4 linked regions of the Saccharomyces cerevisiae S288C genome follow. Changing the gene in region 4 together with the main gene of any one other region gives a genetic interaction. Each region holds a gene or a part of one and is shown on either strand. Other genes may lie near its edges. The genes, in order: YPQ2, VBA5, ADY3 and TAM41.

Region 1 (7,880 bases), on a different chromosome or scaffold from region 4:
TCAGCCTTGTGATCAAGTTTAGTAACTCTCAAGGCCGTGAGAAAACTCGAAACTTTGGTATAGATGGAAAGACTCTCATCGCTATTTGTATCACATTTTTGCAAAAGACTTAATATAACCAGCAACGCATCGTGTAGGTCTGTGCTACTCAATTGCGGCGGAGAAGCCAATAATTTCTTGGTGTAAGATAGCAAAGTCGCCTCGGACATGATAAGGGAATACTAAGTTTTCTTGTGATTATTGCAGTTTAAATTCACTTAGTTGTCAGTAGCTGTAATATCAGATGCTTTATTATAAAGTTTTCCAGAAGAATGAATGCAACAGAGTTTATGTTTACTGAATTGTCTGGTCATGAATCATTTTTTAGAGAGTCAATCTGCGTAGGTTTTTTTTTCCTTTTGGCAAAGACGACAAGAAAAATGCAGGTGGGGAAGCGCAGCAATAATATTAGTCATAACTTAATAGTCGGTGTATAGGCAACCACGCGTTACAAAGTAAGCCGATGGCCTATGTCATGTGTCTAAAAAGTTTAATTCAGACACGCAATATATGTAGATTATGTATTGGCTTTCTCTAATAATGGGGAAAAGAAATAAAATTCATGGTTTGCTTTTTATTAAAGAAAAGGAGAAAGTAACGATTTGTTGGATAAGTATACAAAAATTTGAGTGTATCTATTTTATAATGGAAAATTCATCTATTCTAGGGAAGTTAAGTATTTCTCAGCATCCAAAGCGGCCATACAACCAGAGCCAGCAGAAGTAATAGCTTGTCTGTATTTAGAATCCTGAACATCACCAGCAGCGAAAAATCCTGGAACGGAGGTTAATGAGCTGCCTGGGACAGTTTTAATGTAGCCCGCTTCATCAGTGTCGACTTGGCCAGCGACAATCTTTGTTGCTGGAGTGTGGCCAATTGCATAAAATAAACCGCTGACTGGCAAATCGGTTTCTTCATTCTTTTTAGTGTTCTTAATCCTCAAGGCATTCAATAATTTACCATCCCCCTTAGCTTCTAGCGCAACAGTGTTGTAAAGGATTTCAATTTTTTCGTTCTTCTCAGCACGCTTTTGCATAATGGTAGAAGCACGCAAATGGTCTTTTCTGACAAGCATAAACACTTTTGAGCCGTACTTGGTCAAGAACTGAGCTTCTTCACATGCAGAGTCACCACCACCAATGACGGCCAATGGCTTGTTTCTGAAAATGGGGACGGCACCATCACACACGGCACAGGCAGAAATACCTTTTTGCCAGTAGGTTTCCTCGCCCGGCAAATGCATTCTCTTAGCAGAAGCGCCTGTGGCCAAGATTATAGCGTCAGTCGTCACAGGTTCTGCGTCTTCGTTAAATTCGGTCCATAGCTTGAATGGTTTGGAAGACAGATCAACTTTGGAAACTGTTTCCGTGATAATTTCAGTGCCAAACTTCGTGGATTGTTCTCTCATTCTGTCCATCAGTTCGCTACCTGTTAGACCATCTGGGAAACCTGGGAAGTTTTCGATTTCTGTAGTGGTGGTTAGCTGGCCACCGGCAGCAATACCGTTCGCCATCATACCTTCATATAGGATTGGCTTGATTTCTGCCCTGGCCAAATAGATGGCGGCGGTGTGTGCAGCTGGACCTGAACCAATGATAGTAACTTTGTTGTGAACCATTATTGATAATATGATGTTTACTTTCGTACTGTTCGCTATTTGCTGTATAGCACTTGTAGGCAAGTATAACTGAACTACAGAAATTAATCTACAAGCTCTTGAAACCTCGAGCAGTTGGGTCCACTCTTATACGCGTGGGCATTTTTTCCTTTTTCGAGATACTTGCGGGCGATTTTTTTTCTCCATGACTAAGGAGAAGCTAACCCAGCCAAAACCCGCCCCCAAATGGCTAGGCAAAGTGAAAGATTATTAATCCAGAACAGAATGAAACACTTACTGCCGTACTGTATACTGAAGCGTTCACAGTGAATACATAATAACTTTCATTATTAATATTAGTGTGACAAACTATATGTGTTTGTAGCTGTTGCGAATGCAAACAAGACATAGACGGTTTTACGTAAAACTGGCGCTAACTATAGTTGGGTACTTTTACACAGAGTACGAACGTAGTATTCCTATTGGGAAAAAAGGGTCTCGCAAGGACTATCCCAAGAGCAGAGTGCATTGTTTAAATATAAATGGTAGTACTCCGTAGGGAAAACTATGTTTGCGTTTCACCAGACAACAGTGATGTACGTTCTGTCACTAGTTGCGCTGCACTGTCTTCTTCAGGACTGTATAGTTCTCTTTCCAGTTCACGTAGTTGCATATCAGTTGCATAAAGGATATAGTATTGGTAGAAGTATATCAAATCAAACGCAATTGTTCCAGCACTTCCAAATATAAAGGGCAACTCATTCACGATGAATTCCCTCTTGTTCTGATTATCTAAAAATCTACAGCTTGTGAAGATGCTCAAATTATACGTGATATTGCAGAGTAGTGTAGTAGCAAATAGGAAGGGAGATAAGCCGTCTGTAGACTTTCTATTGTAATTCTTGATTAGTTGTGGGATACGTGCGCCTACGTAGAAGGAAGCGCCAATCCAAGATAAAATTGTACCCAGCTGGCTGTTTTTACCATCTCCGGGAGGCCCCACTTGTGATTGGGTGGAGCCTACATTTAGCGGATATGCGCTAGCTGTACTTATAGTATGAGCTATAGCCAAGGCTGCTGTAATGGCAGACCTTCTTCTACTGCTTCTAGGGCTTTCTGCACTGCTACCACCTTGTATCATGTCCTCTTCCTCCCTCAAAAGCTCACCATTTTCAACCAGTTCGGGAAGAAGAGGTTTAGGCTCATGGCCGACAGTCGCCAATTTATTTTCATGCAGCACGCCATAGTAATAATATTGACCACATACAAAAGAATCATTCAATAGAAAATAAATTGCTAAAAGTATCTGAAATAACAATTGCCCTGTTAGCTTTGCCCCTATCAGCGAGGTAATATCCCCACATAACCAAGCCAGCAAAAAATATGGCGATAGCCCATCGACAGATTTATCTCGATAAGTCTCAATTATTTGTGGAAACAATGAAATAACAGAGGTGAAGAAGGATAATGATCCGCACAAATTAGATACAGTAGGCCAGATGCCGTTTGAGCACGACATGAAAAGATTCTTATTTTCACTTTATAATTTTTAGCACCGATAACAACGAACCTTATCGATTGATATCAATAGATACTGGCTTAAGGTAATGAAAAGATTGCTTCTTTATTTGTCTTTGTTGGAGACGAATATTAATGCCTGCAAAAAGTACTTGACGTTTATGTGCACGTTTACGTTTGTTTTTTTTTGATCCCTCCTCAAGCGAAGAGATATACTAAAAGATATACTTAGTGATAACACTGGTACCTATTGTCACTACAAATCACTGAGCGAAATCTTTTTTCTTCGCGAACAATTTCTTCCATGCTGCGAAATTTTGCAGCACGTAAGTGAATGCCGTAGAAGCTAGCAAAAAAAAATGGTGATGAAAAGGTTAATAACAAAACACAATAAGGGCATTAGTTCATTGTTTATTAAAAATATATTATTATATTAATCGAAAGTAATTTCTGTATGTATGCATTTATAAGTTTCAGAGTGAAAATGAACTTAAGAAGAGATAGTCTGGTCACCAAACTTTTAGTACGTGCCACATACACGCTAACGTAATTTTCGGTAGTAGTGCAACCACCACTTTGTGAAAATATTATTGAGGTTTTCCTCTTCGATACTATCCTCCGTATACAGTGGAATACAAAAATGCTTATCATCCAAATCTGATAAATGTTTCAGATTATCATATCCGAAGTGGTAGTTTAACAATACGTTAACTGTTAGTGAAACCAAAATCTTATAATTTACAATAACCTTCTTAGATCTATAGTATTCCCATACTTTGTCTTTGAATATTTCCATTTTTACGGGGTAGTTTGCAAAGTTTTGGCCATTATGAACGATAATTACATCCATTACCCACATAAAAAGTTTATGGTCCATTCTTTGCAATATGTTCCACCATGTATTGCTATTCAAACATCCGCCATTGAATTCATTTTTGAACTCATCTTTTCGTAAAAGATGGGCAACAATTCCTCTGGGATTTAATATTCTTGAATCGTATTTTTCCTTGCAAATTTCACTGAAGCACGTCATCTGTATCAAGTTGACCATTTCCCATGTTTCCTTCAAAGTCCCAAAAGATTGATCAGTTAAAAAATGGTAGAATAGCATCTCATCACCAGTAACCAAACCTTGTTGAGATATAGATTTCAGTTGCAGTAATAGCATCAAGTCAGAAACCACTTGCTTATCTGTTCCATTTTTATAAAAAACCTTTTCCTGTACATCGTGTTCAATAAGCTGTCTTATTTCAAATTCTTTATCTTTGGGAAAATCCATTTTGTTGAGTAGCTGCATTACTTCCTCAAATGATTCAATAAAACATTTTGTTATCAAGCAATTGTCACTTTGTAGAAGTTGACTATATATTTGAAGCCGTACTTTAGATATCAAAGGTGTTTCCCAAATAATTTTCTTTAATTCACTTAATGACGAGTTACGAGTAATGCCTCGGTCCAGTAAATGCTGGAATTTGACCTTATTCTGCTCATTCTTTTTGGCTTTTTCGTCACGTTCTTTATTTTTTTGCAACTCTTCCATTGATGCTAAGTCGATATTTTTGTAGATTTGTTTATCTTGCAATTTCCTCTCTTTGAAATCCTTGGGCGGGAGCCAACTCGGACGGAAATGACTTACGGCCTTTAGTTTGTCCTCTGAAACTAGCATTAGGTCTTCCATTCCCTGACTACTGGCTTCTTTAAATTCCAGTGGTAAACTCTGTACAGATCTTGAACGACCAGAAAGAATACTTTTGGAGATTTTTTCGGAACTATGCAGGTATATTTGGGAGAGATTTTTCATTGTATCCTGGATGTACTGTGAATCAGACACAGGAGATATACCAGGAATGCATGTTGGCGGAAGCTCCTTATAGTCCAGACATGATTCTTTTAAAGTGTTACTTGAATTTGATGTATGTTTTCTAGTACTATGAACCTGATGGAAAGTTTTGTCCACACAGAGAGCCGAAGATGAGTGTTGTTTGCCTTCGCAATTGTTCTCCTGTATTAATATCTCTTCATCCCCCCGCGCTGAATCTAAACTCATTTCTTTTCTATTAAACTTAGATAATGTTAAAAAAGAACTGGTCGATAAAGATGCCATTGGAATGTTCCAAATTAACGAGCCGTCGACATCGCCCTCTTGAAGTTCCAAGTTAACGTCTTGATCTTCATAAAATTTTTCTTTCATTTTTATGGCTTTACGCAAAGATTGGTCATTTTGCTCTTTCCTTAAACGGTAACGTTGAGAAGGAGTAAGTTGGGTTGTTTTATATGGTAATATTACAGAAGTACTATTGGAATGCACATACGGCGTTTTTGTGATCGGCATGAGTTTTGGTTCTTGGATAGTTGCGGTACTCATGCAATGATGTTTAAGAGGAGAGTCATTCTCGCTTATGAATGAAGTTTGTGATGCGGCTATACTGTTGGTTGTATTGCTCGATCCAGGCAGCCCTACTGTCCTGGAGAGTTTAGGAGTTGACACCGAATTTTGACGAGATGGAATGCATGTAGTTATGGTACTCATTGAGCAGATTGTTTTATCAGCGCTACTTGCTGTACGTGTTTTCTGTAGTATTGATCCCGGTCGGCTTTTCTTTAAGGGCGTAATATTGCTTCTATGGTCAGCTTCTCTCATACTTTTGAAGAAGCAGTTATCCTCCATCTTACTGTTTGCTATTTCACCCTCTTCTGAGCTTATATCTGATGTACATAAAGAATCAGATGTCGTATTTGAGTGCGATGAAGAAAATATCTCTGTGCTCGATGTACCTATAGAATCATCTGATATTGGCCTAATGCACTTCGCTGTGGGTACGTGTGGATTATTATTACCTAATACATTTTTAACAACATCTTGGCTAGCGAAATTGAAATCTAGGTTGGAGCTAGGGCGTCTTGTTCCAATATTCTTTCCGTTCGAACCTGTAGTGCTACTGGATGCACTACTGCCTGATCGGGATTTAGACAACGGAAGGCTGCAACTTTTGCGTTCGGTATATTCTGAAAGCATCAACTCCTTTGTGGAAAACTTCTTAGGTTGATTTTGTTTCAGATGCGTTGAGTCCTCCTCCTTTAAAGGGTCTAGCTTAGACGTATTAGGAACTATATTAATCAAACGACGTGCTGTCATACAATAAAATTGAATGTCACAGAAAGCTAAAGAGCTGAAGTAAAATAATGAAGCAAAGGTGGAAGCCCGAAAATAAAGTTAAAATTCAAAGCTTGTAACGAACGTATGAATGAAAGCACTAATTGAGAAAAAACTGAATTTTGTCAAAACAGCTCTATGTTTCAGAATGATAAAAAGGAGAGTTAAAAATACAATGGACAGTGGAATACAGCCAAATGCTCGATAGCTTTCGCAGAAACAGTACAATTAAAGATCAACACTTGTATTCTAATTATAGCAGGATCGATGTTACATCTCTTTTGCTCTCTAATCGGAGCTGAAAAAAAAAAAAAAAAGCGTATATAGTGATCTACGCTGATTAACATTATAGATTGCATAAAAGGGAAAAAGGAATTACATGAAGATCTATTCTGCGCGACACACTTTATTGGCGTACTGGCAAGAATGGGCTTTCAAATCTTCCAAGCGTTCACTTTAATGTTCTTATTGGCATGTTAAAATGTATATGCCGTGTCTATTCCCAGCCTTTGGCTCAAATGGTCACTTCACCGCTGTTTAAACATATGGGTAGCGCAGGGACATACACAATTCTACCTATTACAAATCTGCGCCATTTATCTACGAAAAACTGTCCATTGAAAATTAAATCAAATCGTTCAGAACCTTTGCAGTTTGGCGATTTTGAACGACAGGTGCCATGTTCTAGGAAGAGCGGATCTTCGAAAAATGTTCAGAAGCGTTTATACGAGCTCCGACAATTGAAAACTGTATTAAGTGAGACTTTTGGAGTAACTGAATACGCCTCTTTTTTTGAATCTCTACGAAATGCCCTGCATATAAATAATTGCTCAGAAAATGAAAAGAAGAAACTTTTATATGATATCATTTTGCATCAACACGAGTTATACCCAGAGGTGGCAAGAAAAATTGGATTTTATCTACCAGGTGAGGTCCACAGATGGTTCTGGTATCATATTCCAAAATCAGAATCTTTTAATCACTATCTTTTTCTTTTGAAAAGTGATGTTCTTCTCTTTACTTCTAACTACTGTACGAGATTTACCAATAGGCTGATAAAAGGAACTGAGATGGAGAGGCAGTTAGCCACGTTCCAAATATTTTTGCATGATGAGACAAACATAAAATTTATAATGGAAAAAGTTCTGAAGTTGCATACATTTGACAGCTTAATCGCTCTAGTAAATGGCCTTGTTAAGGCGAAAAATTTTAGGTTCATTAAAGTATTTATTCAAGCTCTACTACAGAAGTTGGAACAGCACTGTTATTCTGGTAAAGATGGAGCAAAGCAAAAGAACCTGCGTTATGTCAAGTTCAACAATACCTTACTTTATTACCTTTTGAAAAGTGGAAATGTTGAGTTATTCATCAAAACCTTTCAAGAGGAACTGAAATTCATTGTAAGCTCAGGATTGCTTAATCACATTGATGGAAACGAACACATATTGAATTTTCCCATTCACCACTACTTGAATCTGCTCCGAATATCTAATAGGCAGGAGGAGCTTTTCAATGTAATTTCCTGCTTACAAAGCAGCCCACTGATGAAATATAAATTGTTCAAGGAGTTTT
Region 2 (8,669 bases), on a different chromosome or scaffold from region 4:
AATACAACTCACAATCAAATTGACTTGAAAAGATCAACAACATCAAAGAAAACTAAGAATGGAGATCCCGAGGGAGGGAACTCGCAAGACGAAGTGTGTGCTGAAGTTGAAAATTTTGAGGAAACAAAAATGGAAGGATCAGTTAAATTTTCAGCTTACAAATGGTTAGCAGACTATTTCGGGGGACTGGGAGTTGTTTTTGTTTTCACCTCGTCCTCCATCCTTATTCATGGAATCACACTGTCTCAGGGCTTTTGGCTCAGATACTGGCTGGACACTGGATCTTCAGGGAGTAAGTCTACCTGGCTTTATAGAATAGTTGAGGGTCACTCTAACATCTATTTCTTACTGACTTATATTATCATAGGTCTTGTTTCTTCATTTTTAACTTCTGGTAAAGTTTGGATAGCAATAATTTCAGGTACCAACGTCACCAAGAAAATATTTGCGAAGCTTCTATCCAGTATCTTATATGCCAAGTTACGTTTTCATAATGTCACGCCGACTGGAAGAATAATGAACAGATTTAGCAAGGATATGGATATTATTGATCAACAATTGATCCCTAATTTCGAAGGACTCTCTTATAGCGTCGTTGTTTGTCTGTGGATTATACTTTTAATTGGATATGTTACTCCTCAATTTCTGTTATTTGCTATTCCTTTATGCGCTCTTTATTATACCGTATGTACGTTATATCTTCGTGCATCTAGAGAGTTGAAGAGAATAGATAACATCAATATCTCTCCAATACACCAGTTATTCGCTGAAGCCATCAAAGGAGTAACTACAATTAGAGCATTAGCAGATGAGCGTAGGTTTATCACTCAATCTTTGGTTGCAATTGACAGAAGTAATGCTCCATTTTTTTATCTCAATATGGCCACCGAGTGGATCACATATAGAGTGGATATAATTGGGACACTTGTTCTTTTTAGTTCTTCTGTAATGATCATAATGAAGGCCTCATAGTTGGATGCGGGGCTAGCGGGGATACTGTTATCGAATGCCTTTTCCTTTACTGAAACTGCTCAATGGATCATAAAAGTATTTTCAAGCGTTGAACTTTTGATGAGTTCAGTAGAGAGAATAAAAGAATATACAGATATACCTTCCGAATCAAACGGCTACATATCACCTCCAGCTAATTGGCCTCAAACAGGAGATGTTGAACTAAAAAACTTATCATTGCGCTATTCTCCTCATTCCTCTAAGGCACTAGATAATGTATCATTCAAGGTAAAAGCAGGAACAAAAGTTGGTATTGTTGGTAGAACAGGGGCTGGGAAATCTTCTATTATAGCGGCTATTTACCGGCTTTCAGACTGGGAAAACGGTACGATTACTATTGATAACAAAGACATAAAACATATCCCTTTAGAGCGTTTAAGAAATTCTATAAGCTGCATCCCACAGGATCCTACTTTATTTGATGGAACTGTTCGATCTAATTTAGATCCTTTCGATCGGTATTCTGATGTACAAATTTATGGCGTACTATCCAAAGTGGGATTAATTGAAGAATGCGATGAATTGTGCTTGATTTTTGAGCAAGAGCAGCCTAATTTTTCTAGTCATAAACTAAGAAATAGATTCATTGATTTGAATACTGTTGTGAAATCAGGTGGTTCAAACTTATCTCAAGGGCAAAGACAACTTTTGTGCTTGGCACGATCCATGCTTGGTGCACGTAATATAATGCTAATTGACGAAGCAACCGCCTCAATAGATTATATTTCTGATGCTAAAATTCAGAAAACTATAAGAGAAACAATGAAAAATACAACAATTTTGACTATTGCTCATCGATTAAGGTCAGTAATAGATTATGACAAAATTCTGGTGATGGAAATGGGCAGAGTCAAGGAGTATGATCATCCATACACTCTAATATCTGATCGAAATACCATTTTTTACCGCCTCTGTAGGCAGAGTGGCGAGTTCGAAAACCTTTTCGAGTTGGCTAAAGTCTCATTCGATAATAAAAGATAAGACAACTAGAATTTCCTATTTTTATTCATTCCAGTTCTAGCTACGAAGTATACGATCTGCTTACGTCATATATTTGTGTGTAATTAGAAGGCATTCAGGAAGTCGCTTTTAACTTTTCAGGGCTATATGTCCTAATCCACTACTTTTTTTGAGAACTTTAAGAAATAACTCCTTTGAACCTGTCTGTGCCAAACAAAATTTTGCTGGTACATTTTATGGTATATAAACAAGCTACGTTATTATTACTTTTTTTTGATAGTTTTACTTATACTAGAAAATAATATTATATCATCACAAAAGAAACTCTCTCGTTAAGAATCCCGAATATTCAGCAGGAGCAAAAAAAAAATACCATAATTTAAATGCTTATTCAGTACTTAGCTGCTGATTTTATCGCAAGTATACTATTGGAGAGTACCGTGGTTCATATCGTGCTATTTTTATCTATATTTAAATTTATAGAAGTTTATCGTAGTATACTATGTAATTCTCTGCCGTATTGGCGGCAAAGACAAAAGCACTGACAGTAAACAGTTTTTCTGATGAGAATTTATGTCGAGGAACAAACGAAAATTTTGCTGGCCAAATTTGCTTACGCCTTTAATGTGATTGCGGTTGAGGTCTGTTATTACGCAGCTGCTATCATGTGTCTATTTGAGATTCTCTTTACAGGTTATCGCTGCATTTTTGTCAAGAAAAGAAAAGAAGACAACCTTTTTCTTGCACTGCGATGAGTATATTCAGGCTCGCGAATTTTCCAGATTTCTTACTAAAGACACATCTTTGAACGCACCAGCATGAATTTTATGAACTACTGATCCATATATTAATAGGTTTTAAGTACATATAGAATACTTAAGAAATTACATTCCATTGCGATACACCTATTTGATTCTGATTGTGTTGAAGTCTGTATAAAAGGCGAAAAAAAATAAAATGAAAATAAGAAAATAACTGCGCTACTTGTCTTCTAAATTATCTTCTGGTGTATCGTCCTTTTTTGGTATGATTAATTTCTTATTGGATGAAAAACTACAAAACAAAAATCCTAAGGCATAAAACCCTAGATCCATCCAAAATACGTTCTTAATGGAGTCGCTTAAAATGTTTCCAATAGTCGAATGAGAACCGTCGTAGTTTTGAAGACGATACAAAATCATGTCATCAACCGTTTTTCCTTCGTAAGGCTCTAGATGAGCTCGTGATACTTTATTGTGAAAGGAGGCGGAAAAAACAGTGGTTGAAAGCACACCACCAAGAGTTGTACCTAATGACTTCATGAATGTATTGAAAGCTGTTACTTCAATAAAGTCCATAGCAGCTTCTGGACGATCTTTGGTAATTTGAAGCTGTGCACTCATGAGCGATGCTTGTAGAGCAAATCCAAGGGAAAACCCCGGTAATAGCAAAACACCAATTTGAGTTGACTTCGTGGACGTATTTGTCATAAGTGTCATAAGCCCTGCTCCAATTACCCCAAGAACGCCTCCAAATATTAAGAGTGGTTTAACTAAACCGAGCTTTTTGGTAATCACACCACTTGCAATGGCCGCAATAACGTTGGTAATAACGATTGGTATCAAGTGAAGACCGGCTTTCCATGCACTCGACGCAAATATAAGTTGGAAAAACTGGACAGAGTATATCATTTGCCCATTGTAACCGGTACATAATAGAAATGTTACCATGTTTACTATTATTATGGCTGGTTTTGCTACCAATCTTCTTAGAAGGAGAGGCCTGTAGGATATATTATCAGGTTCCGGGTTGAATTTATCGAATAGGAAGAAATCGTACACCAATGAAAAAATAAAAAGTAAGACACCCAAAACCAAATATGTGATGACTTGGCCAGAGTTCCAACTATATTTATTACCACCAAAGGTTAGCCCCAGTAGGAAAAGGACCAGCCCTGCAGAGCAGAGGGCAAAACCAAAGAAGTCAAACTTGAAGATTATGCCATTCATAAGTCTTTTAAAATTAACTTGGTGTCTGAACTTACTAAAAGTAAAGCTCGAGATTGTTCCTATAGCATCTTTAATTTGTTGAAGTATACCCTTATTCTCGGCCTTATAGGTGAGTAAAAACATAATAATGGCAAGACCACCGATAGGAAGATTGATATAGAAGCACCACCTCCAGGTAACATGGGTTGTAAAGGCACCTCCGATTATAGGACCAACGATAGCAGCTACAGCAAATGCACAACTTAGGATGGAAATCACCAATGGACGTGACCTTTCACCAACCATCGTACAACCAATAACAAAGCAAAGCGTTTGGAGTCCGCTTCCCCCAACACCAGCAACAACTCTACCGAAAATGAGCATATTCATTGAAGAGGCAAGGGCAGCAATTAGGGATCCGGCTTCAAAAATAAGTATTGCTAAAATGAGACTATGCTGGAAACCTATGATAGATGCGAATCTTCCCCAAATGAGACTCAGAATAGCATTTGGTAAACTGTAGCCTGTAACGAGCCAACCTGTTTTGGAGTAGTTTCCGAACTGTTCTGCGACCACGTCAATAATAGTTCCCACTATCAAAATATCCAGTGCAGTTATGAATAGTACAAGAGTTAACGAAGCCAGGCAGAGGTACAAGGAAAGTCCCATTGGAGAATCATTGCTACCTCTAGCATTCAATGAAGCGTCTGAACCACATGCTCCTTCTATCTCCTGCTGCGAAGAGTACTTAGTTTCCTCCATATTTTTGAATTTCTATCGATTAAGCTCTATACCAGGTATGATCTGGTCTGATCAGTTCTAGGTATGAGTATAACTAGAATACATCTATATATATGTATATATATATTTAAACCAAAAAAAAAAAAAATTCGCTTCTCATAAAGGTGTGATGACACTATTATCTTTTGCATATTTTGTCGACTCGTATCATGTACGCGCTGCATATGAGGTGCGGCGCTATCTGTTAAATATGTACTAATTTGCACCTGCTGCAAAGGAAATGTGGCACTACTTTTACTCGCATGTTAACTTTCACCTACTATATATAGAAAAAAGGGTGTTGCTTTCAATCGCCGACTAATTTGCTCAAATACTCTTTACACAAAGGAAATTGTGTATCAGTAACCCTTACGGTTTGTTTATGAAGGAACTTTGCTCGTCCTACACCACCGGATCTAGGTACTCAATTTTTTGATGATTTTGCACTTGTGCTCATATCCTGTCGACAGGCACCGCATTTTTTTCCTTGTTTCAACAGACATAAACACAAGCTTCACTCATTAGTTTGAAAAGAGATAGTTTCGACGGTACAGTATTCTTGTCGTACAAAAGTCTTCGGTATAACTGGTTCGTTGTGGATTTTCGGAAAGTAAGTTGATTGTACGACGACAGGTCAAAGTTAAAGTTAAAGTCACCAGGTGTATAGACACCACATTGAAGGGGCGTCACAGCAATTTTTTTTATTTTTTTTTGATACTCAATAATTACGAGCATATAATTTTAGTACTTCCAAAAAAAAGTTAAAAAAAAAATAGTGACAAAATGTGTCAGTAAAATATATATGAGAACATGGAATGTATTAAAGTAATTCCATTTCTAGCAGATGTAGCGACCGTAGAATCTTAAATACTATTTACATAAATAAGAAAAGTAAAATAGTTTTATGGACTGGAACGAGAAAAAAAAAAAAAAGAATAATCAAGTAAATAAATTATCGGATGAGTTCTAGTGTTGTTGGTGCCTCAAGTAATAAAAAAAGTGGAATTAGGCAGTCCTGTGAGATTATTGAGCGAGAACGTCACTCAAACGATGACACGTACTCTATGACATCGACCTTTTTTAAGCTCAAAGAAAACGAAATTATGTCTGCACAGTTTGATTCCTTGAAATATAAAATTCTACTGATAAGTACCGCGTTTGTATGTGGGTTTGGAATTAGTTTAGACTACACACTTAGATCGACCTATACGGGCTATGCAACGAACTCATATTCAGAACACTCCTTACTTTCAACTGTCCAAGTTATCAATGCTGTTGTGAGTGTCGGATCCCAAGTTGTCTACTCTAGACTCTCTGACCACTTCGGAAGACTAAGGCTTTTTTTAGTTGCAACTATTTTTTATATAATGGGAACCATCATTCAATCACAGGCGACCCGTCTCACCATGTATGCAGCAGGATCGGTTTTCTATAACTGTGGATACGTCGGAACAAATCTGCTCCTGACATTAATACTCTCAGATTTCTCCTCCTTGAAATGGAGAATGTTTTACCAGTACGCCTCATATTGGCCATATATCATAATACCATGGATTTCAGGCAATATTATCACAGCAGCAAATCCTCAGAAAAACTGGTCCTGGAATATTGCAATGTGGGCTTTTATTTACCCACTCTCTACCTTGCCAATTATATTTCTTATTCTTTATATGAAGTACAAATCTTCAAAGACTGCTGAGTGGAGATCTCTCAAAGAACAGGCTAGAAAGGAAAGAACGGGCGGATTATTTGAGAATTTGGTGTTTCTATTCTGGAAACTCGATATTGTTGGCATATTATTAATAACTGTGTCGCTAGGGTGTATTCTTGTTCCTTTGACGTTGGCTAATGAGACATCACAAAAGTGGCACAATTCAAAAATAATTGCCACTTTAGTTTCAGGTGGCTGTTTATTTTTCATTTTTTTATATTGGGAGGCCAAATTTGCCAAATCTCCTCTTCTACCGTTCAAATTACTAAGTGATCGTGGAATTTGGGCACCCCTTGGTGTTACTTTTTTCAATTTTTTCACCTTTTTCATTTCGTGCGACTATCTGTATCCTGTTTTGCTGGTATCGATGAAAGAATCGTCCACTTCGGCTGCTCGGATAGTAAACCTTCCTGACTTTGTTGCTGCTACTGCATCTCCATTCTACAGTTTGTTGGTGGCAAAGACAAGGAAACTGAAACTTTCTGTAATCGGAGGTTGTGCTGCATGGATGGTGTGCATGGGCCTTTTTTACAAATACAGAGGAGGATCTGGGTCTCATGAAGGTGTTATCGCTGCATCTGTTATCATGGGTTTGAGCGGTCTCCTATGCAGCAATTCAGTGATCGTCATACTGCAAGCCATGACTACGCATAGTAGGATGGCTGTAATAACCGGCATTCAGTATACCTTTTCAAAGCTAGGCGCTGCTATCGGTGCCTCCGTTTCTGGTGCCATATGGACACAAACCATGCCTAACCAACTCTACAAGAACCTTGGAAACGATACATTGGCAGAAATAGCATATGCATCACCTTATACATTCATTAGTGATTATCCTTGGGGCTCACCGGAAAGAGATGCTGTGGTTGAATCTTACAGATATGTTCAACGAATAATAATGACGGTTGGCTTGGCATGTACGGTACCGTTCTTTACGTTTACAATGTTCATGAGAAACCCGGAACTAATAGACAAGGCGACACACGAAGAATTCACTGAAGATGGTTTGGTTGTCTTGCCAGATGAGGAAAATATTTTCTCTCAAATCAAGGCACTTTTTAGACATAATCGAAGTAACAAGAAATCAGGATGTTGATCCCCAAGCTGGTGAAAAAAGGGCAAAAAAAAAATGAAAGCAAAATCACAAAAAAGGCAAAAACAAGTGATTTCTACATTTTTATTACTTCCGATAAAAATGACATAACAGGATAGGATAAACATGCTCGATAGACCCACATTTGAACTTGCGACGCATATAGCTGTGTCGTACTTTTTATTTTCACAAGCGTCGGTAAAAACTCAGCGTCGGTAAAGACTCAGCGTCAGTAAAAGAGTCAGCGTCATTGATATTAAAAGTGCGGGAGGAGTTACTATCCAATAAATGATGCTGGAAATGCGCTCTGTATGAATGCATTAATTATGTTGTACCGAAAAAGAAAGAAAGAAAGAAAAAAAAGAATATCATGTAACTTCTAGTAAGGGCGTCATGTCATAGCACTTTTCTAAGTGTATGCCATTGTAAATCATTCTAAGCGAAAAAAAGTGATATGTCTCCTGGTATTTTGTATTGTTGTCGTTACAAGTTGATGTGTTCCGTAGTGTGAGTGCAACATGCGATTTTGGTACCGCAAAAAAGGTACAGATCACATGGGCACAGATACAACAATTCTTTATGCCTGTATTGAGATCATAGTTTTCTTGGAGTCGGCAACAGTCTACGGGTGAACCCAATAATCCAGCAGTAAATCTACTAACCGAACATTGTGTCGGAATTTACACATTACTGATATAATTCGTCCCATTAAACTTGCTGCGAGTGATTTCCAAAACAAGTACTACATTGAGCGTGTTCAGCGTGCCCAAAAGAAATGGACTTGAAAATCTTGTTGAATTAACTGTATATCCTTTAAATTAGCTGCCACAATGATAGCTACCTCCGCGATATATTGACGTTACTAACCTTTTGAGATTCTTCACCAATGTTGCAGCGTGATTTAATTTTGATGAAATCATTTTTGTTGAAAGAGTAGGATCCTGTACAGGCTGAAATATACTGTTCTTCAATATATCACTTATTTTAAATGATACAGCCATGTATTTTGGGGATATCAGAGATAATATCATACCCGATTGAGCTGGAACTCCTAGGATTGTTGACAGATGTCGACTATGGCTCCTTACTAACAGAGTATGGTTGTGAAGCTAATACAGATAATGTCTCACTCGTGCAGTCACATCTC
Region 3 (9,644 bases), on a different chromosome or scaffold from region 4:
AAGAGAAGTAGAGAAAAATGAGCTTTTTGAAAATAACCCGTTTCAGTATATAAAGACTCCTGTTAACGCCACAGATAGTTGCGCTGGATGCAATAAATACATACAGGAGGAATGCATTCAATTTTATGAGCACCGGTGGCATATTGCTTGTTTTACTTGTTCTTCATGCCATAAGAATATAAATCCGAGGAGTTTGACGGATCCCACCTTTAATAAAGAGAAAAAAAAGATACTATGTTCTCACTGCTCAATTGATGATCCGGCCTCTGTGCCGGGTTTCAAATTTGTTACTAAGCTAGCACAACTAATTTTTCTTCTAAAAATTGCCCTAGTCAAATCAAGAACTGTAATGTTGAAATCGAAAGCATCTAACAAGGTAGGCAGAAACTCTTTACAGAGTACTATGCTAAAGGAACAAACTTACATTAGGACACTGAATGATATTAAAAGATTGAGATCTAGAAGAGAAAGTGTTCGGGTCACTCATAACAAACAACAAGCTAGAAAATCAGTGATACTGGAAACTGCAGAGACAGATTTAAATGACCCGACAAAACAAGGAGATAGTAAAAATCTTGTGATTCAAACAGATGACCCATCATCGAGCCAACAAGTGAGCACACGTGAAAATGTTTTCAGTAATACTAAGACGTTGACACTAGATGATATTTCACGTATTGTTGCCGCTGAACAAGCAAGGGAGCTAAGACCTAACGCTTTTGCACACTTTAAAAAACTAAAAGAAACCGATGACGAAACTTCGAATGTTGTTCCCAAGAAAAGCGGAGTTTATTACTCTGAATTAAGTACGATGGAACTCTCGATGATAAGGGCTATCAGTTTGTCACTGCTAGCTGGTAAACAACTGATATCGAAGACTGATCCTAACTATACTAGCTTAGTCTCAATGGTCTTCTCGAATGAAAAGCAAGTCACAGGTAGCTTTTGGAACAGAATGAAAATCATGATGAGCATGGAGCCTAAAAAGCCCATCACTAAGACTGTTTTTGGTGCTCCTTTAGATGTGTTGTGCGAGAAATGGGGTGTTGATTCCGATTTAGGTGTGGGGCCAGTGAAGATTAGGATCCCCATAATTATTGACGAGCTAATATCATCTTTGAGGCAAATGGATATGTCAGTAGAAGGTATTTTCAGGAAAAATGGAAATATCAGAAGACTGAGAGAACTAACTGCTAACATCGACAGTAATCCAACAGAAGCTCCAGACTTCTCGAAAGAAAATGCAATCCAATTATCTGCTCTTTTGAAGAAATTTATCAGAGAGCTTCCCCAACCGATTTTATCGACAGACTTATATGAACTATGGATTAAGGCCGCGAAAATTGATTTAGAGGATGAGAAACAGCGTGTTATATTGCTAATATATTCCTTATTACCCACTTACAATCGCAATTTACTGGAGGCACTTTTGTCATTTTTGCATTGGACGTCCTCATTCTCTTACATTGAGAATGAAATGGGATCAAAAATGGACATTCACAATTTATCCACAGTCATAACACCTAATATTTTATATTTGCGACATAAAGAAATTTCCAATGATAACGTCCCTGACGAACCAGAATCAGGTTTAGTTGATTCATTCGCTCAAAACAAGGGAGAAAATTACTTTTTGGCTATTGAGATAGTTGATTACCTGATTACTCACAATGAAGAAATGGCAATGGTTCCGAAATTTTTAATGAATCTTTTAAAAGATGTGCAGTTACAAAAATTAGATAACTACGAATCAATCAACCATTTTATTTCCACCGTTATGCAAAGTAAAACAATCGATTATTCCGAATGTGACATAAAAACTCCTGTCACAGTCAAAGATTCGACCACAACGGTCATACAAGGTGAAATAAACAAATAATAGGCAGAAACTGTAAGTTTCCCCTCATTTTCCTTTTTTTCTTCTCCTTCCCCTCAGATTTCGAGGTTTGTCGTTCTTATTAGAGTTCTTTGCTTTTTTCTTTGCCTATTTCAATAAAATCTTACCAGTATGCTATGGAAATGGACATTATTTTATTATTATACAACATAGTATATTCTGACTAAAATGGAATTAGAAATTGTAACATTAGTATGTACTTATAATCATTTGTATCATTGTATTACTCGCCTTTTGATGTAAATTTTGTTTATATCTCAGAACATCTCCAACAGCAGATCAGAAGTTACATTGTTCTTGTAAGTGCTTAAGAAGTCTGTTAGCAAATTGAAATCTTTCAGAAGAATATTCCACCAAAATTTCGGAAAAGCAATACCAGCGGTAAAATATCTGCCATGCTCTATATTATGTGACTTTATTTTAGGTGCACCCCCCACCAGTAACTTATTCTCTAAATAATAATTAATGACACCATTGAATATATTAGTTCTAAATAAAAAAAAAAAAGCTAAGAAAAGAAATATTTAAACAACGCTTGCAAATCATACTCAAGAGGATGCTTTACTTCAGCAATATCATGATTGTTCAAAAACTCATTCATTGCGACCTTTCTTCTACTTTTGAAATCTAACTGTTTACCAAAAACCTTAAGGTTCAAATCATTAGCAAATTTTGTGAGAAGTGTAAGCTCACATCTAAGTTGAATGACAATTGTTGGTACAATTTTTAAGAAGGTTTTTAATGGGATATCCAACACAATTAATAAATTTTTGATTAGATTTTGCGATTGCACATAGGTAAGGTCTGTCAGAATATCAAGACCCAAGGAGTCGTACTTTTCCTTCGTTATATGTGGAAAAGATTTTCCAACAGTTTCAAAATTAAGTTCGGTAGAAGGATCACCATATAGTTTTTTTAAATTCAGCTTCTCTTGGAATACATCTTCTTTTAGTGATAGAATTGTTTCTTCGAGTTTTAATATTTCACTTTGTTTTCCAGCTAACTCGTCAGTAATTTTCTTATGTGTGTTTTCTGACTCTTGAATTTGAGTGCTCCATCTTGAAGCAATCAAAGCCTGATTCTGAAGTTTCTCAACAATTTCCTGGTGTTCATTCATGTAATCGTTCAATTTATCTTCGGCATTTTTCTGAATTTTTTCACTTAGTATTAATTTTTCTTTTAACTCGCTCTTCAGTTTTTGAAAGTTTTCTTCCTTGAGGTTCAGGATATCATGCCATCTCCTTTTTTCCAAACGAAATTGTTGTTCTTTTGTTAACGCCTCTTTTTGAAGATATTTTATTTTGTGACTGTGCTGCTGTTGCATAAAATGTAATCTTTCATTAATCAATTTAAAGACAGAAATGATTTTTTCAAGACGTATACGGTCATTCTTTTCCAAAAGTTCTATCTTTCCTTTTAATTGTTTGTATTGCTCCATATTTTCAAGATTTTTGATATCTTGAAAATCCGGATAAAGCTTGGCAAAACCGTTTTGAAACATCGAAGGGGAATGGCCACATTTCATTTCTTCTAGTATGAATTTACCAAGGTCTTTCTCAAAAAGAGAAAGATTTTGCATATAGCTGTAAACATCATTTAACCTTTTCTCGTAAAACGAACCATTATCATGTAATTTTTTATTTTCATCTTGAGAAAGTTGCAAATTGCTTTTCAGTATTTCAACTTCAGATCTTAATTTTACTATAGAGTTATTCGATTCGTTAATATCTTTTAGAAATTTATCATTTTCTTGCTGCAAGTTTAGGATTTGTTTTTGCTTCCTGTATAGTTCCGAAACTAAAATATTTCTTTGAGAAAAAGCTTTACATTTAGTTTTGGCACTAGTCACTTCATTCTTCTCCTTCTTGCTAGCGTTTTTGTTTTGAAAGTCTGTAATTTTTTCTTCTCTAATTTTTTTAATTTCTTTGCGAAACCGGTCCTGAACAATGTTGAGCCTTTTTGATGCAGCTTTTCTTTCGTTGTGGAATTCCTTCTGCAAGTCTTCTATTCTTTGAAGTTTAGCATCATTCATGCTATTAAGTTCTTCTAGTTCTTGAATCCTGTCATCCTTCTCTTCTAGTTTTTGTCTTAGTGCTTTGATCTCTTCATTTTGGGACTGGAGCTCATCTAATACCTTGGGTAAACTATTTTCTTTAGAAATACTTCCTCCATATGATGAAGAAGATAGCCTAATTTCTCCTAATTTCATATATTCGGACTGTTCTTCATCTGGAGTTTTAGATGAGCGAAATACGTTCTCTAGATGCGCAACCTCTATATTCTCCTCCAGACTCTCATTGCTTACAACATAATGCTCATCATTTGAGATTGCTGCGACTTTGTGGGGATTCGTGAGGAGCTTTGTAGGTGTAGAAGAAAATCTATTCACTTCAATACTATTGTGTACTTTGTATGTGGTAAATTTACCAGGGCTTACATTTCCTAATGTACTGGGCTTTCCTGCAGGTGACAGAGCCTGCGAGCCTATTCCTACAGTTGGTAAACCACCCCTTTGTAGAAATTTATTAGGCGATTTTAAAGTATTTTTTTCCGTAGCATTTTCCAATGTACTAATGTTACCAGAAGGTGAAGAGGCTTCTGAACCTGCCCAACTCTCTGAGCGGTTTCTTCGGGAACGCCTATTCGACAGTTTTGATATAATATCAGAAGAAATACTTTCCTGCACATTAGATTTTTCAGTGGACGTAGGTACTTCAGAGTCTATCCAAGTTTGTGAACGCCGCTCTCGAAAAGGTTTACTTTCTGGAGACTTAGTTAAAGTGCCATCAGTAACATGTCTCATCTCCCCCTGCTGGTCGCAATCCGAGTTTTGTTCCTTTAGGGATTCAGGCTTATTCAAAAATGCTAACCAATGATTCATATTCGGAGAAGTTTGTTGTATTCAACTATCCCATTCAAAATCCCAAACCGAGTTTTGCAATTCTTTCACTGGCAAATCTCTTTGTGTTCCTAATCTTAATATTGTACAATGGGCGGCTAAAGCGCGATACGCAAAAGAAATTTGTACATATACTCAAATTACTCATTAATACTTGGAACAAGATATAGTAGCCCTCTAAACATATACAACTAAATCTGGTAGACTTGCTGGCCGGCTACCCAAACTTTAGTGGTGTTGCGATCATCACCGTTAAAGAACCATTTTGCGATTATGTCTTCATTAGTAAGCAGCGGTGGGTTCTTATAAGGGTCTTGCCCTTGCTCTTGCTCTTGCTCTTGCATTTGATCCTTCTCCTTTAGCTGCCAATGAAACATATCCACGTTTGAGCCGGGAGCATTGGTATCGATCATTTGAGCGTCAAACTGCTTACCGACGTCAAAAGTCCCCAAGGTCTCATCCATACGCAAGACTTGTGCTCCGCCCATTGTAGCAAGAAATAGGCACTCGGAGACTGAAAGTTTTGCATGATCAGTTTCTCTCATTGCCAAATGCCTTGAAACTGCAAAGGCCTGCCTTCCGGTGGTGAGTATGCTACAAGAATGACCGGCTGAAACGTCGGTGCCTAGACCAACCTTTATGCCCTGGTCCAGCAACCATCGAACCCTACACTCTCCAGAAGTCAGAGAGGAGTTGGAAATGGGACAATGAGATATACCACAGCGACGCTGTTTAATCACACGCGCTTCGGCATCTGTTAGATGAATACAATGTGCCAATACTGTTTTTTCTGTGAGCAGCCCATATTTGTCGTATACATCAGTATAGCTCTCACATTCGGGAAATAAATCTTGAACCCACTGTATCTCCTCCTTATTTTCCGACAAGTGGGTTTGAACGTGTATGTTTTCATCCTTGACTAGCTTGGACAACTGTTGCATTAGTTCTCTAGAACAAGAGGGCGCGAACCTTGGTGTCACTATAGGATTTACGAGGGGATCACAAATGGTTTCCCGTATGTACTTAACAACTTTCACAGTGCTTTCAAAGGAAGTTTTAGTATCTTCAATATAATACTCGGGACCATTGGTATCCATGCACACTTTTCCAACAAGAACACGCTGCCCCAATAAGGAGCTTAGTTGAGCCAAGAGCTTAGTGGACTTGAGATCAATGGTATTATAGTAAGCCACAGTCGTTGTACCGTGAGAAAGCGTCTTACTTATTACCTTATTGTAAACTTCTCTCGCAATATTTTCGTTTGCTAGTGCGGCTTCTATGGGGAAGGTATACTTCTCTAGCCAATCCAGCAGGGTAGAATTCCCAAATACGCCGACATTTGGATATTGCGAGACATGGTTATGCGTGTCAACAAAACCTGGAAAATAAAAGCTGTTATTTCGAGTCTTGTCTTTTCCAATTATGTCAACCACCGTGACATCCTCTGGTGATAAGCTACTATCGTGATCTAAACAATCTTTGACAGGATCGAGTGAATTTCTGTTCACAAACCTGATGATTCCGTTGAGAACTCCAACAGATGTTTTCTCTCTGATTCTCAGCTCTCCTAATTTAGGGGTATCTACAAAGGTACCAAAAAAAACTAGAAACTTTCCATGTTTGTCGTTGAATTTATCAAATAATAAATCACTTTTTGTCATATCCTCTTCAAAGGACAGCCCAATTCATATATTCATTCAATAAAATGTTGTTCTTTTGCCAATGGCCTGTTTTAAAATCCTTATCTTGTCTCCTTTTATAATCCGAAACTATCCAAACTTCCGAGTGATAAATCGCCGGATAGGCATAAAATATGACTCGAGATAAGACCAACAAAGATAAGTACCTCGGTTTAGTTAAGCGATGTTAGGACTGAAAGGGTGTCTAACTATTCTTATTGGATACGTTATTGCTGTCTGTGCTTTGTTTTCCAGTAGGGGAAGAAATCCTTCATTAACTGATTGGGAAAAGTTAAAGGACCAGAAAATATCGAATATTGATAACTTTGGGTTGACCGGTCAACATCTTTTAGAATTTTTCCAGGAAAACTTGCCATTTCTAAGTTTTTCAGAGGAAAAGTATCGTCACAAACACGTTTCTTTATATTATGATGTATTCAAAGAATATATCTTACGTCGTGCCAGTTCAAAAAAGTGTTTACCAGTAGACTCTGCTATCGCAAAGTTGAACAAAGATGTTAACCCAATGCCAGTTCACTCCCATAATGACTACTGGAGGAAACTTCCGCTTTTTGAAGGTCTGGCCTATGGTGCTAGTAGTACTGAAGCCGACGTGTGGAATATAGATGAAAAGATCCTAGCTGTGGGTCATAATGAAGCGTATTTGGACCCAGTTGAATTGACATTAGACAAGCTATACACTGGCCCCCTCTTGGAGATTTTAGACGAGGTGAATTGCCAAGATTCAGACGCCGATCGCAAAAATGGTGTATTTTTCAACTCTCCAGAAACTTCACTCTTCTTTTATATTGATTTCAAGTCGGATGATAACGAACTAACTTATAAACTGCTGATGGAGCAATATTTCAAATCTCTGATTGATTCTGGATATTTGACATATTACGATATGAAGAAGGATGAAATTATTTGGAGACCTGTTACTGTGATACTAACGGGCAACTACCCGACGTCATTGGATATTTTAGACAATGGAAATGATAACGGCTATTTTGAGTCAAGTCAAAGGTTTGCATTTCTAGATGCGCCGTTGTTAAGTTTGGAGCCCAAATACTCAAAGCTATCTGTAGCTGCGACGGTTTCGTTCAGCCAATTAATGAAACATTGTGGTTCTGATCATTGGAAAGTATCGCTAAGAGGTCGTATGGATTCGAATGAGATCAGTTGTGCTAAAAGCATAATTGATGGTGCTCACGCATTGAAACTTAAAACAAGAATTTGGGGAGCCCCAACCTGGCCAGCTAACCTGGTGGAAACTATTTCTCGCCAAATTATTCATGACTTGGGTTCCGATTTACTTAACCTGGACAATTTATTCATGGCATCGTCATTGATATAAGTGGCTTGAGCTGTGGATAAGAAAAGCCATATATTTATATAAACATTTAGATATGAATAGGAAGTAGATTGTTCGACGCAACTACCCGTTCAAGAAGTATAATGGGGAATGGTCTCATCTTCCCTCACAGGATATAGTTCTCTGAAGAGATACATACGTTTGTGTATACTATGCTTCTTTATCAACTCAAGTTTTGTAGAGGAAGACGTTGAAGATGGTGATGTGACATCTTTACTATTCTCCAGCACGTTTTCAGTATTTACTTAATCGTATATTAATGACGTCCCTTATCTATTAACTTTCCGGTTTTTCTTTTTTTCGGTGAATGTTCTTTCCGTTTTAGTGAATTTTTCAATTGTAATTGACGCAATCGGTTTATAACAAGCAGACATAAATATCAAGCTCGAGCCAAATCACAAAAAAAGCCTTATAGCTTGCCCTGACAAAGAATATACAACTCGGGAAAATGACTGCTCAACAAGGTGTACCAATAAAGATAACCAATAAGGAGATTGCTCAAGAATTCTTGGACAAATATGACACGTTTCTGTTCGATTGTGATGGTGTATTATGGTTAGGTTCTCAAGCATTACCATACACCCTGGAAATTCTAAACCTTTTGAAGCAATTGGGCAAACAACTGATCTTCGTTACGAATAACTCTACCAAGTCCCGTTTAGCATACACGAAAAAGTTTGCTTCGTTTGGTATTGATGTCAAAGAAGAACAGATTTTCACCTCTGGTTATGCGTCAGCTGTTTATATTCGTGACTTTCTGAAATTGCAGCCTGGCAAAGATAAGGTATGGGTATTTGGAGAAAGCGGTATTGGTGAAGAATTGAAACTAATGGGGTACGAATCTCTAGGAGGTGCCGATTCCAGATTGGATACGCCGTTCGATGCAGCTAAATCACCATTTTTGGTGAACGGCCTTGATAAGGATGTTAGTTGTGTTATTGCTGGGTTAGACACGAAGGTAAATTACCACCGTTTGGCTGTTACACTGCAGTATTTGCAGAAGGATTCTGTTCACTTTGTTGGTACAAATGTTGATTCTACTTTCCCGCAAAAGGGTTATACATTTCCCGGTGCAGGCTCCATGATTGAATCATTGGCATTCTCATCTAATAGGAGGCCATCGTACTGTGGTAAGCCAAATCAAAATATGCTAAACAGCATTATATCGGCATTCAACCTGGATAGATCAAAGTGCTGTATGGTTGGTGACAGATTAAACACCGATATGAAATTCGGTGTTGAAGGTGGGTTAGGTGGCACACTACTCGTTTTGAGTGGTATTGAAACCGAAGAGAGAGCCTTGAAGATTTCGCACGATTATCCAAGACCTAAATTTTACATTGATAAACTTGGTGACATCTACACCTTAACCAATAATGAGTTATAGAGGAGCAATGCAAAATCTAGGGGTAGAATTACTTTTTGAAAAGGAAAAATATTCAGGTTTGTTGTTTTTATGTAAGTTGTATGATTTGATATACATATATATATATATATAATATATATTGTACATGTGTTTTTCCGGGGAAGAATGGATTATCCGGAGGTGTGAATAAAATGATGACGATTATAGGTTTGTGTTGTAATATTTAGATAACTCAATTCTCGCCAGTTTGAACTCCAACCTAGACTGGTTCAAAGCTTTTGCTATCAAGATGAGATATATGGAATTTTCGTCTTTATCGTCCACTTGTATCTTTATTTCCTCGTCATCTTCATCAATATTGATTCCATTAATAATCGATTTATCGCTCAGAGTGTTGACCAATTCGGTCTTGTTGGGGAAGAAATGTT
Region 4 (3,568 bases):
GTCTGGTATCGATTGCAATTGAGTACTATAATAGAGTTCTAGAAAACTACGATGATGGAAAGTTGAAAAAACATGCTGCCTATAACAGTATTATAATATATCAGCAAAGCGGAAATGTTGAGTTGGCCGACCACCTCATGGAGAAGTATTTAAGTATTTGAGAACTTGTTTAAATATTTTAAACTATAAAGTATAATTGTAATATAACCCTTAATAATAGAAATATATAGAAATACCCCTTCAAATGCTACAATGTGTTCGTAAGTACGACATCCATTGCATATACTGGAACGTATGATCCCCCTTCCATAATGCAAGTAAGTCAGTTTGAATGCCAATATGGGATAATGTATATTATCTAGAAGAAGGTAAAAATAAAGATGAATAAATATTGACCGACGCCAGAGATTTGGAATGTGAATAGAGCGATTCTTCGAAAGAGATGAAAGGACGATAAAACATTTTTGATAAAAGATAATGTGTAGATAACATTGGATACACTAGCTTCTCCTCATCGATTTTAGTTTTTTGGCCCAAGCATACTTAATTGACTTTGTGATTCCAGCTGTGAAAACACCTTTAATAGTTTGTAATGCACTTGATTTACTAATACGGCTGAGCAAAAGTCTCTGAGTATTCTTTAATGTGAACCCTTTTGGAAGATAAAATGAATCATTTAGGACCACTTCTTTGTAAATCGGCTTGTAATACTCTTGAAATCTTTCAAAGTTTTTGGTAACAATGTTGTTAACTTTGTCGGGATTTTCTCCACCCAGTTTGTATCTAATATCACCTGCATAACTTAAGGCAGTGATCTCCTTGTAAAATTGGAATTCGTCAAACTTATTGTTATTTTTCTCTAAGGTGTAATGTTTGGCCAAAGTAGCTGCAGCTTTTAAGTTTAATTGGTTCCAATATTGCACTCTCAAATCATTCTTCAATATTTTTACAGGCTTTTGTAGTCGTCCTGCTAAATAGAATGTATTCCAAGTAGCTATGTCCTTTAAAAGTGTTTCCATAGAAACCACCCCATATTTTACGTCGTGTCCATTTATATTTGCAAATGGATTAAAATATACGCCTGCGCCGATCTGTTGAAATTTAGACACGAACTCGGAACCGAAGTATTTCAAACTTGAATAATGTTGCGGATTCTGCCTCATATTAATAGAGTGAAAATGTGATGGATATGTGACGCCCAAGATTATATCGATTTGAGGTTTGCTATGACTTTTGGAATATCCCGCTTGTTCGAAAACTCCTGAGCCGTAACCAAATACAAACCGGCACGGAGCTTTGAAGGATGACATTACCCCATCCAGTTCCTTTTGAAGTTCCTTATCGATAGTAATGAGCTGGTTACTTCCATAGTTGGGGGGCAATCTGTGAAACTTGTACATATAATTTGTAAAATTGGAAGTCATTTCGTCAGTTTTTCTTATACCTTTTTCCAAGAGGTCCAGATCACTGCCTTTAGTAATTCCCTCGATGTAGTGATTCGGCCTTTCGTTAATAGTTCCATCGGGGATAATGCCAGCATCATCTATGGAACTTCTCCCCTCCTTTATTTGAGTACTCAGAAGCCTATTAAACATGCTTACGTTCGTTGAATGGCATTTCAGCAGAAACCGTAGACCATTTTCAGAAACTCGTAACATAACTTCAGGATATATCAAAGTAAAAAGCAGCTCCTATTAATTCAAATTATTAGCTCAATCCTATAGCAACGTTTCTCAAGTTTAATTGTTTTGAAGGTTTTAGAACCTTTTTCACATTATTTAGTCCGTCGAAACATCTACTCTTTACTATTTATGGCTAAACAGGCTGAAGGGTATGATTTCTTTTCTTTTCTTTATTCATGTCGGGTAAGAGAAGGTCACTTGACCTATGATGTGGGGGCAAATAATAACGTGGGAATAACAAGCGCGCTACTGGTAAGTGAAAAACTAAGATAACAGTTGAATTTCGTGTTTAGATGCTATAGAGAGTCTGGTACAGCATTGGCGATTTAAGACTTCTCTAGTCCACATTTCTTAAATTCAAAATCACAAGCGCCTGTTAACGATCATTTTATAATCTACGATGTGTAAATGCAAAAAGTGCTTTCCTCCCTCTTTAGTTTGGACAGGGATAGTGGGTAAACGAGTAGCATTATGAGTGCATACATTGCCAGAAAGAAACCGCAAAGCGGCATATCTTTTTTCTTCTTTCTGTTGTAAGGGATGCTTCGTCACGTAAAATGGCCGCCGGAGTGAGATGTCACAGATTACATCAAAAGGTCGGCGTATACTGGATAAGAAAATCCGAACTTTTCCGGTGGGCTTTACCAGCAGAAAAGTGGCCGGGCATGTATTAAATATATCACCGTATTTTCTGCTGGCTTTTTCTTATGCAGAGAACAAAGGCCAGAGTGCCTTCGAGGAAATTAAAGGGAGCAATGTGATAGATATGTCCTGTGTCATTTGCTTCAATTTTTCCTGCCATTTATTTGTAGTTATATTTATATCTAGATCAACCGAAACTATACCAACGACGAAGCTGCTTCTTAGTAAATATATTTTCTACTGTGTCAACGCATTGGAACTGACATTGTTCTTATCCTATAAGTCATACAGTTGAATTTGTTAATTCTTTACTAGAAGTTGGGATTTTCAGCACTTATGTCACCGTGTTATGGACAAAACAGTGCCATCGCCAAGGGGTCTTGGAACAGAGAGGTTTTACAAGAGGTGCAACCGATTTATCATTGGCACGATTTCGGGCAAAACATGAAAGAATATTCGGCATCACCCTTAGAGGGGGATTCCAGCCTGCCTTCCAGCCTGCCTTCCAGCACTGAGGACTGTTTACTACTATCATTAGAAAACACAATCACAGTTATAGCCGGAAATCAGAGACAGGCTTATGACTCTACGTCGTCTACTGAGGAAGGTACAGCACCTCAATTACGGCCGGATGAAATAGCGGACAGTACACACTGTATCACGTCATTAGTTGATCCGGAGTTCAGAGATCTTATTAATTATGGACGTCAAAAAGGAGCAAATCCTGTATTTATTGAGAGCAATACAACAGAACAATCCCATTCACAGTGTATTCTAGGCTATCCCCAAAAATCGCACGTGGCACAGCTATATCACGACCCCAAAGTACTCAGCACAATTTCCGAAGGGCAAACAAAAAGAGGAAGTTACCACTGTTCTCATTGTTCTGAAAAGTTCGCAACGTTAGTTGAGTTTGCCGCGCACTTAGACGAATTCAACCTTGAAAGACCGTGTAAGTGTCCCATAGAGCAATGTCCCTGGAAAATATTGGGTTTCCAACAAGCAACTGGTCTGAGAAGACATTGTGCTTCCCAACATATAGGAGAGCTTGATATAGAGATGGAGAAATCATTAAATCTAAAAGTAGAAAAATATCCAGGACTGAATTGCCCATTTCCTATCTGTCAGAAAACGTTTAGGCGCAAAGACGCCTATAAGAGACATGTGGCCATGGTGCATAACAACGCTGATTCAAGATTTAACAAGCGTTTGAAGAAAATTTTGAACAATACCAAATAGTTGAG

The links.
Region 1: mutations in TAM41 (region 4) and YPQ2 together harm fitness more than expected from each alone (negative genetic interaction), as found in Saccharomyces cerevisiae (one large-scale study listed by BioGRID).
Region 2: mutations in TAM41 (region 4) and VBA5 together harm fitness more than expected from each alone (negative genetic interaction), as found in Saccharomyces cerevisiae (one large-scale study listed by BioGRID).
Region 3: mutations in TAM41 (region 4) and ADY3 together harm fitness more than expected from each alone (negative genetic interaction), as found in Saccharomyces cerevisiae (one large-scale study listed by BioGRID).

Annotation. Positions count from the first base shown.
Region 1 is NC_001136.10:1,177,076-1,184,955, reverse strand, and holds YPQ2 (Ypq2p), read right to left. Parts: upstream 3,156-7,880; coding exon 2,202-3,155; downstream 1-2,201. Other genes in the region: TRP4 (anthranilate phosphoribosyltransferase), read right to left, coding at 1-209; thioredoxin-disulfide reductase TRR1, read right to left, coding at 698-1,657; SBE2 (Sbe2p), read right to left, coding at 3,696-6,290; ATP22 (Atp22p), read left to right, coding at 6,782-7,880. UniProt on the Saccharomyces cerevisiae protein: Amino acid transporter that moves arginine across the vacuolar membrane. Active during nitrogen starvation when it exports stored vacuolar arginine to the cytosol, for use as a nitrogen source.
Region 2 is NC_001143.9:655,765-664,433, forward strand, and holds VBA5 (basic amino acid transporter), read right to left. Parts: upstream 4,701-8,669; coding exon 2,952-4,700; downstream 1-2,951. Other genes in the region: putative multidrug transporter NFT1, read left to right, coding at 1-972; YKR104W (uncharacterized protein), read left to right, coding at 1,072-1,992; GEX2 (glutathione exchanger), read left to right, coding at 5,678-7,525. UniProt on the Saccharomyces cerevisiae protein: Transporter required for vacuolar uptake of basic amino acids.
Region 3 is NC_001136.10:23,998-33,641, forward strand, and holds ADY3 (Ady3p), read right to left. Parts: upstream 4,779-9,644; coding exon 2,406-4,778; downstream 1-2,405. Other genes in the region: GTPase-activating protein LRG1, read left to right, coding at 1-1,879; GUD1 (guanine deaminase), read right to left, coding at 4,988-6,457; AIM6 (Aim6p), read left to right, coding at 6,660-7,832; PHO13 (4-nitrophenylphosphatase), read left to right, coding at 8,299-9,237; YPD1 (Ypd1p), read right to left, coding at 9,418-9,644. UniProt on the Saccharomyces cerevisiae protein: Involved in the pathway that organizes the prospore membrane (PSM) during sporulation. Mediates the assembly of the DON1 ring structure at the leading edge of PSM during meiosis II.
Region 4 is NC_001139.9:582,985-586,552, reverse strand, and holds TAM41 (putative phosphatidate cytidylyltransferase), read right to left. Parts: upstream 1,659-3,568; coding exon 501-1,658; downstream 1-500. Other genes in the region: transcription factor TFIIIC subunit TFC4, read left to right, coding at 1-161; YGR045C (uncharacterized protein), read left to right, coding at 2,257-2,619; RME1 (Rme1p), read left to right, coding at 2,661-3,563. UniProt on the Saccharomyces cerevisiae protein: Catalyzes the formation of CDP-diacylglycerol (CDP-DAG) from phosphatidic acid (PA) in the mitochondrial inner membrane.